2 linked regions of the Stegostoma tigrinum genome follow. The protein of the gene in region 2 purifies or fractionates together with the protein of the main gene of each other region. This does not show direct contact. Links are inferred from orthologs where the notes say so. Each region holds a gene or a part of one and is shown on either strand. Other genes may lie near its edges. The genes, in order: spidr and swsap1.

Region 1 (7,316 bases), on a different chromosome or scaffold from region 2:
TACAGTCAAGGAGGAGCATGACTGGGATTTCTCAACAATGATTTCAGCTCTATGAAGTTTCATTGCATCAGGTGAAGTGTGCATGGAAGCCAAGACAACAAGGTGTGGAGCTGGATGAACATTGCAGGCCAAGCAGCATCTTAGGAGCAGGAAAGCTTATCAAGAAAGCCATCTGTTGTTTACCATCTATCAGCATCTTTCAGTTGATGGAGCACTGGTAATAACGCACATCACCACAAGTGACTTAATAGCACTATAACAGATGGAGCTAACTTCAAAAGTAGATCACACTTTTATATGGGTGGCACGGTGGCTAGCACTGCTGCCTCACAGCGCCAGGGACCTGGATTGGGCAACTGTCCGTGTGGTGTTTGCACGTTCTCCCCCTGTCTGTGTGGGTTTCCTCCAGGTGCTCTAGTTTACTCCCACCGTCTTGGATTGGCCATGCTAAAATGCCTGTAGTGTTCAGAAATGTGTGGATTAGTGGGTTATAGGGGGATGGATCTGGGTGGGATGCTCTGAGGGTCAATGTGGACTTGTTCGGCTGAAGAGCCTGTTTCCACACTGTAGGGATTCTATGATCCTAGTTGTAGAATGGGCATGTCTGAATTTTGGAAGGACTGAAAATGAATTAACATATAGGGTAGTGACCCTCATTTTTGTATTGATGACGCAAATCTGCACATTTAGTGTTGGCCTGATTTTTCTTGATACGCACTTCCATTTCAGATATACATCAATTCCATCACTTCAAACATCGTCTTTTGACTACTAAATAAACTATCAGTGTTCCCTTGCGTGAACATGTTCCCGTTCTTCCCTTTGCTTTGTTCCTTTGGAAATTTCTGTCATGTCTATTCCTGTTGACCAACCTAAATCTGACACACACAGCAAGGAAACTGTTCGTCTACACATGACCGAGTGTTCCCTGCATTTTCTGTTCTGAGGAAGGGTCACCAGATCCGTTTTCTCCTTCACAGATGCTGCCAGATCTGCTGAGTTTTTCCAGCAACTTTGTTTTTGTTCCTGATTTACAGCATCCGCAGTTCTTTTTCCCATGTTTGCCTCTGCTTTCCTTGAGGTAGGAGCAGTGTCTGCTACTGAATTGACCCGCCCACCAGCCAGTAAAAGTCAGCATGGAGAATAGCACTGTTTCCCCGGCGACAGGAGATGGGCTCTAAGATGCCCCATCAACAGCCTATCATTTTCTGTCTGCCTAACACCCCGCCGTTGTAAATACCGCGCAATTAACACCTTAAAAAGTACCCTCATACCTTCCTGCTGCTGGACATGCCGCCGCCCGATCCCCTCAGGCCCAAACACAGGCTTCAACCGGCATCACTGGCCTCTGTGTTACGACAGCAGTGTGGGCGGAGTCAAAACTACGGCTGCGTAAAGTTGCTCTACAATCTATGAGCCCGCATGATTTCTCTGAATTATGCCAGTGCTACAATGTATTAGTCAGCATGATTTTGCTCTCAAAAAAGTTACAAAATGTCAAGGTATTCAGATACTAAACCAGAGAAGACGTTATGTACCCCATCTACAATCTGCCGATGCAGTATTATAGAACATAGAACATTACAGCACAGTACAGGCCCTTCGGCCTTCGATGTTGTGCCGAACTGTCATACCAACCTGAAGCCCATCTAACCTACACTATTCCATGTACTATATCCATATGCTTGTCCAATGACAACTTAAATGTACTTAAAGTTGGTGAATCTACTACCGTTGCAGGCAAAGCATTCCATTCCCTTACTGCTTAATATCCACAAAATAATCCAAATTTACAAATTACAAGGTGGGACAAATGCTGACAGATTCCCATCCATCACAGGGCACGAGTGATAACACCAATTTAAAAAAAGGTCCTTCCCTTAACTCTGGAGAGAATGGCCTTTCCAATCTCAGGTAGCTCTATAGGCACGACCAAGGATTTTGCCACATTAATACTCTGAAAGTAACAAAATCATAACCCGAAACAAAATTGTATCTTTCATACCTACTGAATGGTTACCAACAGACACAGCTTGCAGGACAGATCTGATGGTGACCTTTGTACCACTTCTTCTCACCCATAAATCTTCACTCCCTAAAAGATATAAAATTTAACTCATCCTTAAATATATTCCAAGTCCAATCCTTGAGGTAGGGAATTCCAAAGTTTGATAACACTTTGAGCAAAGCAATTGTTCCTCAACTGAGTCTTGAAATGTGAGGTATTTTAGTTTTGTTGTATAAGGCAGTTAGCCTGAATGAGTTAACTTGGAATCTTTGGAATAGCCCACCGCATATCTAAACTGTTGTTTCTGAGAAGAGTTAGTTTATTTGTTATGATTTATGTCATAGCTAGAAGGCATGAAGAGAAATTCCAAAGAAAACTGTATACTCTTCTTTATGCCTGAGTTTAAAATCTCCTTCTTAAAAAGAGAACACCCTTGCTGGACAATGAAAAGGTTTTGGCTGATCATATTTCCAGAAGCTTCTGAATCCTCACATTGTGCAAACATTCCAACTAAAACAAACAAAGGATCTTGGAGTCAAGCTGCCTGCTTCTATCCATCTCTGGACAAAGGAAAATATCAATTATTAACTTATGCTAAAGCTTTTGTCATCTTATTACCTCACAATGGAAACCCTAATGGGGGAGTAAAACTATACTCAGTTTAACAGCCTTCTAATTAGCACACTAAAATAGGCAATCGGCACCTGAATGCCTGGCCTTGTCACATGACTGAAATCAGGACGGATGAATTGCTTCTACAGTTCTGGGATTCCAAGTTACTACTTGACTAGGGTAGCAGGGGTAATGGATACTCCTCTCTGTTAAAATATAACTCCAGATAAACTGATTTTTAATACTTCTGAATTTCCCAAAACTTGTAAATTATAATCCATCTCCTCTTCTGTCCTTTCTTAATTTCCTGTGTACTTGTGTGATTGAATCTTAACCTTCCTCTGGGAAGTTAAGAATGAGAATTAATGCTAGCCTTGCTATTGATGCCTATATCCTGTGAATGAATTTTCAAAAGCTCCATGAATTTATGACAGGTTAACTAAATTAATACTAAGTTGCTGGAAAAGCTTAGCAGGTCGGGCAGCATCTGTGAAGGAGAAAACAAGAGTTAACGTTTCAGGTCCGGTTCTGAGCAAAGGTGACTGGACCCGAATGACTAATTTATGATTGCTTTACACCTCTTAAGGTCAAGACGTGATAGATTGGTTCTATGTAATGTTTTCTGTTAATCATGCACTTTATATTAGACCAACATTGTTCCCCAAACTCTTGTTTTCAGATTCTATTTTTGAGATTAAACTGCAGCACAATGCTTCTAACGTGAAACGAAGGGTCAAAATCCTGGAATTCCCTCTGTAGCAACACTGTGGGTCTAATCACAATGGGTATTGTTCATTTTTTGCTTATTGCAAACCAGTGTCATTTTGGAGAGAATTGCTACCTGTTTCTTTCTTGCCAGCTTATAGTATTTGGTTTCAGTTAGATGTGGTTGGTGACCATTAATCACATGATTCCCACTCTGCTGCTTTGAACTGGCCATCTCTTGAGTGCAACATGTGCAGTCAATGGCACCCTGCATCTGGGACAAGTCAGTTATGTTTCCAAACACAGACTGCAGTGGTTCAAGAAGGCAGCTCAACATCACCTTTGCCAGGGCAACTCAAGGTGGGCAATAAATGTTGGCTCAACCAGTAATGCTCATGTCCTAGAAGGGAATAAAATAAAACAAAGATATAGTTTATTAACAAACATTCATTTGTACAGTGAAGTAAGGTTTCTCTTTTTATTCTCCATTCTCCTTGGGATAAATGTCAAATTTTTACTTCAGTTTTCCTGTGCTTCATGTACAGGTTACCCAAATCCGTCAAGATGACAGCATTCAACAGACTACATTTCAATAATATTCTGCAACATCCTTCCACTTAAAAATACTAAACAATAATTTTCTATTCTTTCTACCAATCTCACATCTTACTCAAAAAGACTATTTGCCAAATTTTTGTCCACTGATTTAAATATGTCCAATTACACACTCTTTGGGGAGAATTTAAAGCTATCCCCTGATGTGAGTTTGGCAGAGGTGGCACCATTGCTGCCATTCCAACTCTGCCCCCATTTAGCCTAGGATAGGAAAGGTTGTGGTCAGGCTTCCACACTGACAGCAATTCTTTTATTTATTCTTTCATGGGATAGAAACATCTCTAGCAAGGCAGACATCAGTTCCTCATTCCTAATTACCCTTGAGCTGAATTTTTATTTTTATTTCAGAGGCAGTTAAGTCACAATGTTGTATACGTGAAGTCACATGAAAGCCAGAGGTAACAAAGTGTGGAGCTGGATGAACACAGCAGGCCAAGCAGCATCTTAGGAGCACAAAAGCTGACATTTCAGGCCTAGATGGGTCTAGGCTCGAAACATAAACTTTTGTGCTCCTAAGATGCTGCTTGGCCTGCTGTGTTCATCCAGCTCCACACTTTGTTATCTCGGATTCTCCAGCATCTGCAATTCCCATTATCTCTGATCACATGAAAGCTAGTTCAGGTAATATCAGATGTCTTTCCCTAAAAGTCACTGACAAACCTGGTAGTTTTCACAACAACTGATTATAGTTTTATGGTCATTATTTCTGAGCTATTTTCAATTCCCTATTTACTAATTAATTGAATTTAAATTGCAGCAACTGCCACGGTGGGATTGAAATTGTATCACTGGGAAATTGGGCATTTGGATTCTAGATTAGAGGCATTATCTTTTACTATCTACCCAGTAATTTCCCTTTAAATTGGTCATTGATGCCCACTTGAGCAGCATGATGGCTCTATGGCTAGCACTGCTGCCTTGCAGTGCCAGAGACCCAGGTTCAATTCCAGACTTGGGTGACTGTCTCTGTGGAGTTTTCACATACTCCTGTGTCTGTGTGGGTTTTCTCCCACAGTCCAAAGGTGTGTGCGCTAGGTGGATTGGTTATTTTAAAAATTGCCTATAGTGTCCAGAGGTGTGTAGGCTAGATCGATTAGCCATGGTAAATGTGGGGTTATGGGGATTGGGCTGGGTCTACATGGCATGCTCTTCAGAGGTTCGGTGTGGATTTGATGGGTCAAATGGCTGCTGTTTGCACTGTAGGGATTCTATGATGAAAGGCCATATCCCATCACTACAGGTATTCAACTAGCGGCAAATGCTAGGATTAAGGACAACCTATTCTTCTCTGCTCAACCCTGCCAAATCCTTAGCCAGCAACTCCTCCACAAGACCCAAGAATTGGACTAATTTCCACTTCTCATGTCCTCGTCAGAACTCACTTTCATACCTATGGTTGTTATTGTCCTCTTTGCTGCGACACAAACTGTGTACAATTTAATATTCATTGTAAATAATTAGAGCCCCCTCACTTTTTTCATGCAGCACTCTACTAGTTCCAGTTTTGCAAACAGAAAATTACCCACTTGTCTTGACTAAGACAACAAAGTGTGAAGCTGGATGAACACAGCAGGCCAAGCAGCATCTCAGGAGCACAAAAATTGACAAATCGGGCCTAGACAGAGAGCGCTCTCTGATGCAGGGTCCAGGCCTGAAACGTCAGCTTTTGTGCTCCTGAGATGCTGCTTGGCCTGCTGTGTTCATCCAGCTTCACACTTTGTTATCTTGGATTCTCCAGCATCTGCAGTTCCCATTATCCCTTGTCTTGACTCTCTGTTCTTGGAATCAAGAAACTGTTGAGGATAAGGGGAAAAATTTAACTGTTAAGATGAGATGCATTTGGGAATAGGTGGAGAATTAAAGCCCTGAAAGGTGTTGTGTCATGTCATGAATTTGAAAATGTTTGCTTTTGATTTTAAAATGGGCAGTGTTAAAGGACTTTCAGTCCCAGAATAAAAGATCAGTCATTTAGTTCTGAGATATGGAAAAAGTTTTTCAAGAGCTGTAAACTTTTAGAAATTCTTTACACCAACAAGTTGTAAACATTTAGTTATTGAGTATATGCAAGATGTAAATGATAGATTTTTGGGAAGTACGGGATATGGGGATATTGCAGGATGACAGAATCAATGTGGAAGATCAGACATTATCATGCTAAACAGTGGGAAAGGCCATCAGGGTCTAATTGACTACTCCATCATAGTTGTAGTTAAGAAAGATTGAACAGATGGAACTATAACCCTTACGAGTTCAGAACAGTCAAAGATTATCTGATTGAAACATACAAGAATTATCTTCGACAAACAGCTGTAGGGTCTGGGTCACTAAATATTTTCAAGGCTGAGTTAGATTTTTGATGGACAAGGGCTTCAGATCTTATGTCTGAAGGGGAACCAGAAAGGAAAGTGGAGTTCATAGCAAAATCAGATCAGTAATGATCATATTAAGTGGTGGATCAGGTTCAAAGAGCTAAGTGACCTACTGCTACTCCTAAATCCTATGGTCCTATGTTCTCAATTAACTATTAATGTAAGTAGGTATCTTGGCTTTAACAGAGAGTGCATGAATTTTCTGAGCTATTTATACCTTTGCAGGAGCAGGAAAACAACAGGACAATGGGAATGCTACTGTAATAAAACTACTGACCAGGAAGCCATAGCAACAAACAGGGCAGGTAAGTGGCTGTTCACAACATTTCTTCTCAGCATGGTTTTCTGCTTCTTGACAAGTAATCTCCATCTTCTTGGAAGTCAACTCACCCTGCCTGGTTTTGGTAAACTTTGTCTGCACTATCCTGCTGCCAGTCTTCACTGGAGCAATTCTACAGCATATATATCTGTGTCTTGCAATTTGAATGAGTATCAAGCACAGCATCACCAAAACCAACAGCAATACCAGTTGTCTTCCCCTCAGCAAAATGCTGCTGCAAAGGGCAGACCTGTTTGGCACAGATATCAAACTGGACGGAGGCGCAACTTCCCAACATAGGCAGATGATCATCCCTCTTGACATGAGGGAACCAACGTCTTAGGCTCTCACAGCAGGTTACTGTTGACATCGGAGGCCTCCTGAAACAAGACAAGCTTCCCAGTAGATCATGTGCTCATGTACTTCAGTGCTCAAAGTGTCTGTTACTAGAGGTGCTATTTCCAGTTTCTGCCTTTCCTCAGAGTTGTGCATTATCTTCTTCCTGCAAAGCAAAATAGCAGAGCTGTATGAGAAGAGAATTGTGTGAAGAGGGAAGGATGGCATTATTAGAGGATGACTGAAAAGCATGAATGTGAGACGACACAATGTGCAGATAAGAATGTGGGGGTACCAGCAGTGTAGCCACAAGTTGTGTTGTATATAATCCCTAGTGTGGAAGCCCATGGCG
Region 2 (8,264 bases):
ATAATAGGCAGGAACGGATCTGCCGCATTGTCTTCTTGAATCGGAGCCTAAAGAGAAAAAAGAGCTGATCAGTCACTATTGGTTAATGTTGAAAGTAAAAAATCAGCAAGCAAGGTGTCTGCAGCAGCGAGCAGCTCTACAGTCTGTTCCCTGGGATGCACGTACAAAGTTAGGATCAGAAGTAGGCCATTTGGCCTGTACAGCATGCTGCAGTATTGAATAAGATCAGTCTGGGTTTTGAATTCCACATTCCTATCTACCCCCCCCACCCCCGCAATAACTCTGGATTCCACTGGTTAACAAGAATCCATCGCCTCTGCCTCAAAAACATTCAATGACCTATTCTCCACCAACTTCTGAAACAGAGGTCCAAAATCGTTGAGAGAAATAAAAAAGTCTCTTCTTCTCCTCTGGCCTCAAAGGGTAACCCCGATCTTCAAAAACAGTGCCCTCCTAATTTTAGATTGACTCACAGGAGGAACCACCCTATCAATGTTCAACACCATTGAGGACCTTACATACCTCAATCAAAGTCCAGTGGAAACTCCCTAGGAGCATTATAAAATAATAAGTTTCATGACTACAGAATTTTCAAAGTTATCTGGTCCTCATCATGTTGCTGTTGATGGAAACATACTGAATGTAAATTGGTTTCCAAACTCTACTTCAGCAACTAAACTGGAAAATACTGCACTGGCTACACTGTGCCTTGGAGATCTCAAAGTTACATCATGCCTTTTATGACCATGAGCTTTTCCTCTCGTTCTAAGTAACTAAGCCTGTTAGCTTTTGTCCCTTAATCCTATTCCCTTCCTCATTTTATTTTAAGTTCTAACTTTGCTTTAATGGCTTCTAGCACTTTTCCAATTTTCACTTTCTTAAAAAAAATCTTAATCTCTTTCTATCCTTTGGTGTCATCTCCCTTGCTCATGGGGACCAATCTAAAGATGACTATTTGACAGGCTCTAACTCACTATGCATTGCTTCCCCGCTGTAGATTGTTGTAGAATTGGACAAACACAAGGTAAAAGTTATTTTTTAAATAAAAGTATTGGGAAAAGACAAAAATGAGCAAACTATAACAAATAAAAGTAATGAAATATGTATTATCAAAATATAAGACTGAAATGATGCTAAAAATTGAGTAAACTAAAATTAGAATAAAGACATTTTACGACAATAACAAATCTGAGAAAAGGTCCTCAGAATAAACAATTTGCCATAGTCCACAAAACAAACCAGCATCTCTTTGCATTAGGGAGATACACAATGGAGTTCATCCAGCTTTATAGCCTGATGTACAGAATAAAACCAGAATGCATTATGCATCTATAATTCTACATTAAATACAACAAAGATATTTAAAAATACGAGAATAAAAACACATAAACATGATGCTAAAATTACACGAACTCAGAATGAAGTTTTTTTTATAGATTTAATTGTAATGGCAAAACATTAGATAAATAAAACCAGATTATATCACCATTCTATAGAAAATATAAGAAATATATTTTAAATAATAATTCTCACAGTTTTAACACACATATAGCTTGGGAGAGTAACCTCACTACTTTTACAAAGTACACGGGTGAGCACTTGAAATGTCATAATATTCAAGGCAATAGGCCAAGTGCTGGAAAGTGGGATTAGTATATATTTAGTTTAAATTTAGAATTATAGAGTTGTACAGCAAGGAAACAGACCCATCGGTTCAACTCATCTATGCTGACCAGATGTTCCAAATTAATCTTGACCCTTTTGCCAGCATTTGGCCCATTTCCCTCTAAACCCTTCCTATTCAAGTACCCAAGATAATAAAGTGTGAAGCTGGATGAACACAGCAGGCCAAGCAGCATCTCAAGAGCACAAAAGCTGACGTTTCGGGCCTAGACCCTGCAGTTCCCATTATCTCTGATACTATTCAAGTACCCATCCAGATGCCTTTTAAATGCTGTAATTGTACCAGCCTCCACCAGTTCCTCTGGCAGCTCATTCCATACACGCACCACCTTCTGGTGAAAAAAGTTGCCCCTTATGTCTCTTAAATCTTTCCCCTCTCACCCTAAACCTATGCCCTGCAGTTGTGGATTCCCTACCCTGGGGAAAAGACATTGGCCATTCACTTTTTCCATCCCTTCATGAACCTCGATGAAAGGTCACCCCTCAGCCTCTGATGCCCCAAGGAAAATAGCCCCAGCCTATTCAGCCTACCCCTACTGCTCAAACACTCCACCTTAGCAACATCCCTGTACGTCTTTCTTTGAATCCTTTCAAGTTTCAAGGTCTCCTTTTAGACTAGATTTACACTTAGTGTAGATTTGGCTGGTACAAATCCAATGGGCCGAATAGCCTCTCTTGCTTTGTATGAGTTAATTATAATGGTTAATTTATGGTGGAACAAATACACAATGTTTTAAGAATGACTATTTCGAATGAATTGCAGTTTGCCAGCGAGCTGTGCGCTTTTGCTCTCCACCTTCAGTGTTGCAATGACCTGACACTCTGTACCGGGCTGTAGTTTCTCACTGAGCCAGCAGGCACTGTCCCGGAGCAGGGCAGCGATCCTGGCCGCTTGCTGAGGCGTGTCCTGCCCGCAGCCCTGCAAGTACCGGTCCAGCCCGTCCAGCAAGAGCAGAGAGGGCAGCAGGCTGCGGGGGCTCTCATGCAAGCACGCTAACGCTTCCAGCAGCCCCCCCGCCGTCCTGGGGTAGGCGAACTGAATCCTCCGGAGGCTACCGGGCTCCAGCAGCAGCAGCGGGGCGGGCAGCGCCTGCACCGGGCTCGGGGAGAGGAAGAGCACTCGCTTCCCCCACTGGCCTGCGGCTTCGGCCGCCGCCAGGAACAGGAGGGATCTCCTCCCAGGGGACTCCTCACCCAGCAGCAGGCAAGCCCCTAGGTCCCTGGCTCCCCAACCCTTGGCTATATCAATCCTGCTCTCTGCCTCGCTGTGAGAGCAGAGAACATGCAACAAAACCTCCGCCATCCCTCATTCAAAACTGATGCACTTCCTGGTTCACAAGTAACAAAACCCCGCTTTGGATACTTTCAATATATCCATTCCCAGGACCTCAGACTGCCGAATACTAAAGCAAAGTTTATGCTGAACTTCCGAAAACAGTTGGGTCCAAATTTGGAATACTAGCATCTTAAATGCTATTAAAATTGCCCAATTTATCTGCAAATTTTTTTGAGGGGTTCATCCGCCTCACAATCTTCATTGGCTGTGCAAGCTGTTCATTAAGTTCTGCAGCAGTCACACGAGGCTGCAAACTGTTGCTTTCCCTCAGGTAGAGCTAGACCTGCTGGTTTTTTATTTCTTTAACTAGGTGATGCTCAACTTCCAAAGTGCATTCCCTGACCCACTCCTCATTGCCAGTATTTTTTTGTAAAGATCTTTAAAAAAAAATAGAAAATATAGAGATAGTAGGAAATGCCGATGCTGGAGAATATGAGATAACAAGGTGTAGAGATAACACAGTGTGAAGCTGGATGAACACAGCAGGCCACGCAGCATCAGAGGAGCAGGAAAGCTGATATTTCGGGTCTGGACACCAAAATATAGGGAGACACCGTTTAAGAATTGAAGGCCAATCTGCTAAATGATATAAATAAAAACGTTTCTATGAAAAACATTCTGAATTGATTTCAACTCTGGTCTGCAAATTAAAGGGGAAGTGGTATATAGTGAGACTAGCCACCCAGAACCACAGACTAATGGCCTGAGGAAATGAGTTTAATCCCACCATAAGAAGTAAGAGCAGGAGGAAGCCATCAGGCCCCTCAACCCTGCTCTGCCATTCAATAAGATCATGGTTGATCAGTTTCATGCACTTAGCTCCGCTTACCCATGTGTTCACCATAATGCCTAATCCTTCCACTGTTCAAAGTCCTATCATTGCCTTAAAAATGTTCACTGCTTCACTGGGCAGGGAATTCCACAAATTGACAACTCTCGGGGGGAGATGTTCCTCCTCAACTCAGTCCTGAATCTGCTCCCCTTTATTTTGAGGCTATGCCCCTAGCTTTAGTTTCACCTGTGAGTGGAATCAACATGCCTGCTACCATAGCAGCAGATGCAAGTTAAATTAACACAAAGGGAAAACTCTTATTAAAAAAAATACTCATCAGGTTCTTCAATACCATTTAGGGGACGGAGACAGAAAATTTACAAAGAATCCATTCAGCCCACTGTGTCTGCATGGCTGAATACATTAGCCACTCAGTGTAGTCTCACTTAGCAACACCTGGCTATAGTCTTGCAGGTTACAGCATTTCAGGGGCAGATCAGATTCCTTTTGAAATGCAAAGGGTCTAGGCCCGAAACGTCAGCTTTCCTGCTCCTCTGATGCTGTTTGGCCTGCTGTGTTCATCCAACTCGCCACCTTATTATCTCCAATTTTCAAAACCTGATAACATTCTTGTGTATCTTCCCTGTGCTCTCTTAATGAGAATTATGTACTTCCTGTAATGTGGTGATCAGATCAGTGTAGAAAATTACAGTGATGGCCTAATCAGTGACTTATATTGTTCCAGCATACCATTCCTCTTTTTTTATTCACTCACGGCACATGGGCATCACTGACTAGCCCAGCATTTATTGCCCAACTCCAGTTGCTCCTGAAAAGATGGTGTTAAGCTGCTTGCTTGAACCACTGCATTCCATGTATAGGCCCATTAGAGAGGGAATTCTGCAATTTTGACCCAGCGGCACTGAAGGAATGATGATATCTTTCCAAGTGAGGATGGTGAATGGCCTGGCTTTTCAATATCTTGCCCAATGGAGGAAAGCATTCACTTTAGCTTTTTTATGAACTTACCTCCACATCCTGCCATCGTTAAGCACATGTCAACATACACTCAAAGGTCTCTCACTTCCTCAAAACCCTCCTGTTTGTGGTATATTGCTTTGCTTTGTTTGTTTTTCGCAAATGCATAACCTCACTCTTCACCAAATCGAATTTTGACAAACAACTTAAATTTTATTTGCATAAAATTCTCAGAGACACTGTCTTAACAGAGAACTCCTCAGGAAGGACTCTGACTAAACGTGCTCAGAGAGAAGATTCTCAATAAACCAGAGTGCAAGGAAAAGGACTTTCTGGAATCAACCACTGTTCTGCGGGAAGAGTCGTAGCAGTTGGTAAGTGGCATTAACAACTAGTGAGGAACAAGAAATCTCTCACTCATTCAAAGCCTGCACGAGCTACTGACTCCACCAGTACAAACAACATTCAACTACTGAAGCCATCTAAGCTCCTGAATTCATCTTTTGAACTTCTTCACCTTAGAAAAACAAATCTTCAAGCAATTAACAGGCTGCAAGAGATTGAGCTTATTTATTTCAAGAGCTGTTTCAGGTATGATGGTCCAAATGTGCTCACCTGGCACCGTAACAATTCTGTGGTTTTTCTAATCATTATAAGTATCTTTTATCAGCATCTACATTTAATCTTTGTGTCTTTATTTTAACTAATAGTTATCACATTCCTCTCTCATTACTTGACATTGTGTAATTAACTAACCTTTGATTTTATATGAAGCCACATGTTTACTGCTTGTTATTTTCAAAAGCGGAACACTCAAAATTCGAAGAGGGGGAAATAAATGAGATATATGAATGTGCAGATCACGTACCACTCTTTCGACATCGCAGCAGGGTGATGGTAGATTCTAATGAATTAGAATCATTCACTCATAGGGCTAAATAACAACTCAAAGAAATTCAGACATTGTTAATCAGAAACAAGAACAGAAATTGCTGGAAAAGCTCAGCTGGTCAGGCAGCATCTGTGGAGAAGCAGTGTTAATGCTTCAAAACATGGTTCTTCTTTGTACGACTCAAAACATTACCTCAGTTTTTTACCCTTCCACAATTGCTGCCAGATCCGCTAAGCTTTTCCAGCAATTTCTATTTTTGTTACTTATAGGGACTGTTGTTCAATGCTTGATGAAAATTCTCATATCAAATTTAATTTTTGATCTTGTGCCTCTGACAAATGCAGAGGAGCTAGGAATATGGAAATAGTGGCAATGGCATGGACTCATACCTCAGAGGCCCAGGCTGCCTATTCTGGGGATACAGCTTTAGGTCACACATCAGCAGCTGATGGAAATTACATTCACCTGATAAAGTGAAACTTAAGCTCAGTAGTAATGACCTTGATAACTGAACATCATTACTGACATTAGTTTTTGATTTACCAGTTGAATTGTTACCTTGTAAACTGGGGATAGGGTGGTGCATCTGATGCCGGATCAAAATATTGCATGTAATTTGCTACTTTTCAATTATTGGGATTTTGTGAGGCAATGGTGTTGTAGTAATGTTGCTGGATGAGTATTCCAGAATTCCAGGCTAATGTTCTGAGGACATGGGTCTGAATACCACCGTGGCACATTTTGAAAACTCAATGGGAATTTGGAAATTTGACTACGATAACTGTTAAGACCCAGACAATGTTCTGGGGACCTGGGTTTGAATCCTGCTATGGCAGATGGTGGAATCTGAATTCAATAAAAATGTGAAATTAAAGTCTAATGGAGATTATAAAACCATTGTTAATTGTCAGGAAAAACACATCTGCCTCATTAATGTCCTTTAGGAAAAGAAACTACCATCCTTACCTGGTCTGGCCTACATGTGACTCCAAACCCACAGCAATGGGGTTCACTGTTAACTGCCCTCCTGGCAATAAATGCTGCCTAGCCAGTGATGCCCTCATCCAATGAATCAATAATAAAAAAGGACAACACAAGAGCAGGATGCAGTGTGGATAAAAGTTTTCATCCTAGCTTTAATTGAGTAATAAGGGAAGACTGGAGGAACTTGACGTTTTCAACCTGAAATGAAGAGGTCCTGTAGACAGATATTAATTAACGAAACAGAAAAGACACATCTGGAATATTGCCATGAACTGAAAAAAAATCACAAAGTAGATATGTATAAACTAGAAAAAGGCACATTTTACATCAAATTTTTATTTGTGATTTCTTTTTAACAGCAAAAAAGGCAATCTATCCAATTCAGTTCATCAGAACCCCTTACACCAATGTTTCCTTTTTCCATTCTTGTCCATTAATTAAACCCTTTGCACATAAAGTTATTTTTCCAAACCTCCTTTCTCCATAAACCACCTTTCTAATCCACTTGGCCTCTAAAGTCCCATTTCTCCAATTCCCTCTTTCTCTTCAATTCTATTCCCTCTAATAAATTCCCTTTTCTCTGAAATAACCTCCCATTACTCTAAAACTCCAATTCTCTATTCAATTGTTTTCCCTAAATTCCTCTTCTGAGCTGGGATCATAGACCAAGATCTATATTCCACCAACATTTCCAAGGTTAATACTAGAGATTACCTGGCTAGACGCCTGCTGAAATGTTAGTCTTTGTTTTTTATTCATATAGCAGACGTGTGTATCACTGGCTGGGTAAGCATAGCCCATTCCTAGTTTCCCTGGAGAAGATGATGGTGATCTGCTTGGGGGCAAATAGGGATAGGGAATCTGTGCTGGTCCAGACACTAAAGCCTACTTCCAACAAATGAAGAAAAAAATTTCAATGTAAAAATTAAATATGAGGATATCAAGCGCTGGAGCCCATGACTATTTCCTGTGACAGCTTGTTTCATTGTGAGATTGTTTTTAAAGGAAAGTTGATGCCCTGCCTTGGAACACAAAGTCATTTTATTTTAGATAGAATCATCATAGAATTCCACAGGATGGAGGCAGGCCATTCGGCCCATCGAGTCCACACCAATTCTCTGAACAACATCCCACTCGGACCCCCTGCTCTGTAACCCTGCATTTCGCATAGCTAATCCACCTACCCTGCATATTCCTGGACACAATGGGCAATTTGGCACCGCCAATCCACCTAATCTGCACAACTTTGACTGTGGGAGGAAACCACTGTCGTGTAGGGAGCAAAAGCAGGCCATTCGGCCCATTTAAACTGCTCTCCCATTCAATGAGATCATGGTTAATCCAATAATGCTTAAATCCACTTTCAATATCACCCTTGATTCTCTTATCAATTAAAAATCTGTCCATGTCAGCCTTGCGTATATTTAATCATGCTTCCCCTGCAGTAAAGAATTTCACAGATTGACTACCCTCAGCAGAAACTGGTGTTCTGTTCCCTGTTCTCCACAATCCTCAATCCCTTTCCCATTGACAGCCGAAGCGGCTTGGCCTGTGTTCATCCAGCTTCACACTTTGTTATCTTGGATTCTCCAGCATCTGCAGTTCTCATTATCACTAAG

The links.
Region 1: the proteins of swsap1 (region 2) and spidr purify together in Homo sapiens (co-immunoprecipitation; 3 studies listed by BioGRID and IntAct, with this or other methods). This does not show direct contact. The link is inferred for Stegostoma tigrinum from reciprocal best matches to the Homo sapiens genes SWSAP1 and SPIDR.

The regions. Positions count from the first base shown.
Region 1 is NC_081358.1:72,679,383-72,686,698, forward strand, and holds the start of spidr (DNA repair-scaffolding protein), read right to left. Parts: upstream 3,032-7,316; 5' UTR 1,293-3,031; coding exon 1,275-1,292; intron 1-1,274. UniProt on the Homo sapiens protein: Plays a role in DNA double-strand break (DBS) repair via homologous recombination (HR).
Region 2 is NC_081388.1:14,337,526-14,345,789, forward strand, and holds the start of swsap1 (ATPase SWSAP1), read right to left. Parts: upstream 3,011-8,264; 5' UTR 2,987-3,010; coding exon 2,480-2,986; intron 48-2,479; coding exon 1-47. UniProt on the Homo sapiens protein: ATPase which is preferentially stimulated by single-stranded DNA and is involved in homologous recombination repair (HRR). Has a DNA-binding activity which is independent of its ATPase activity.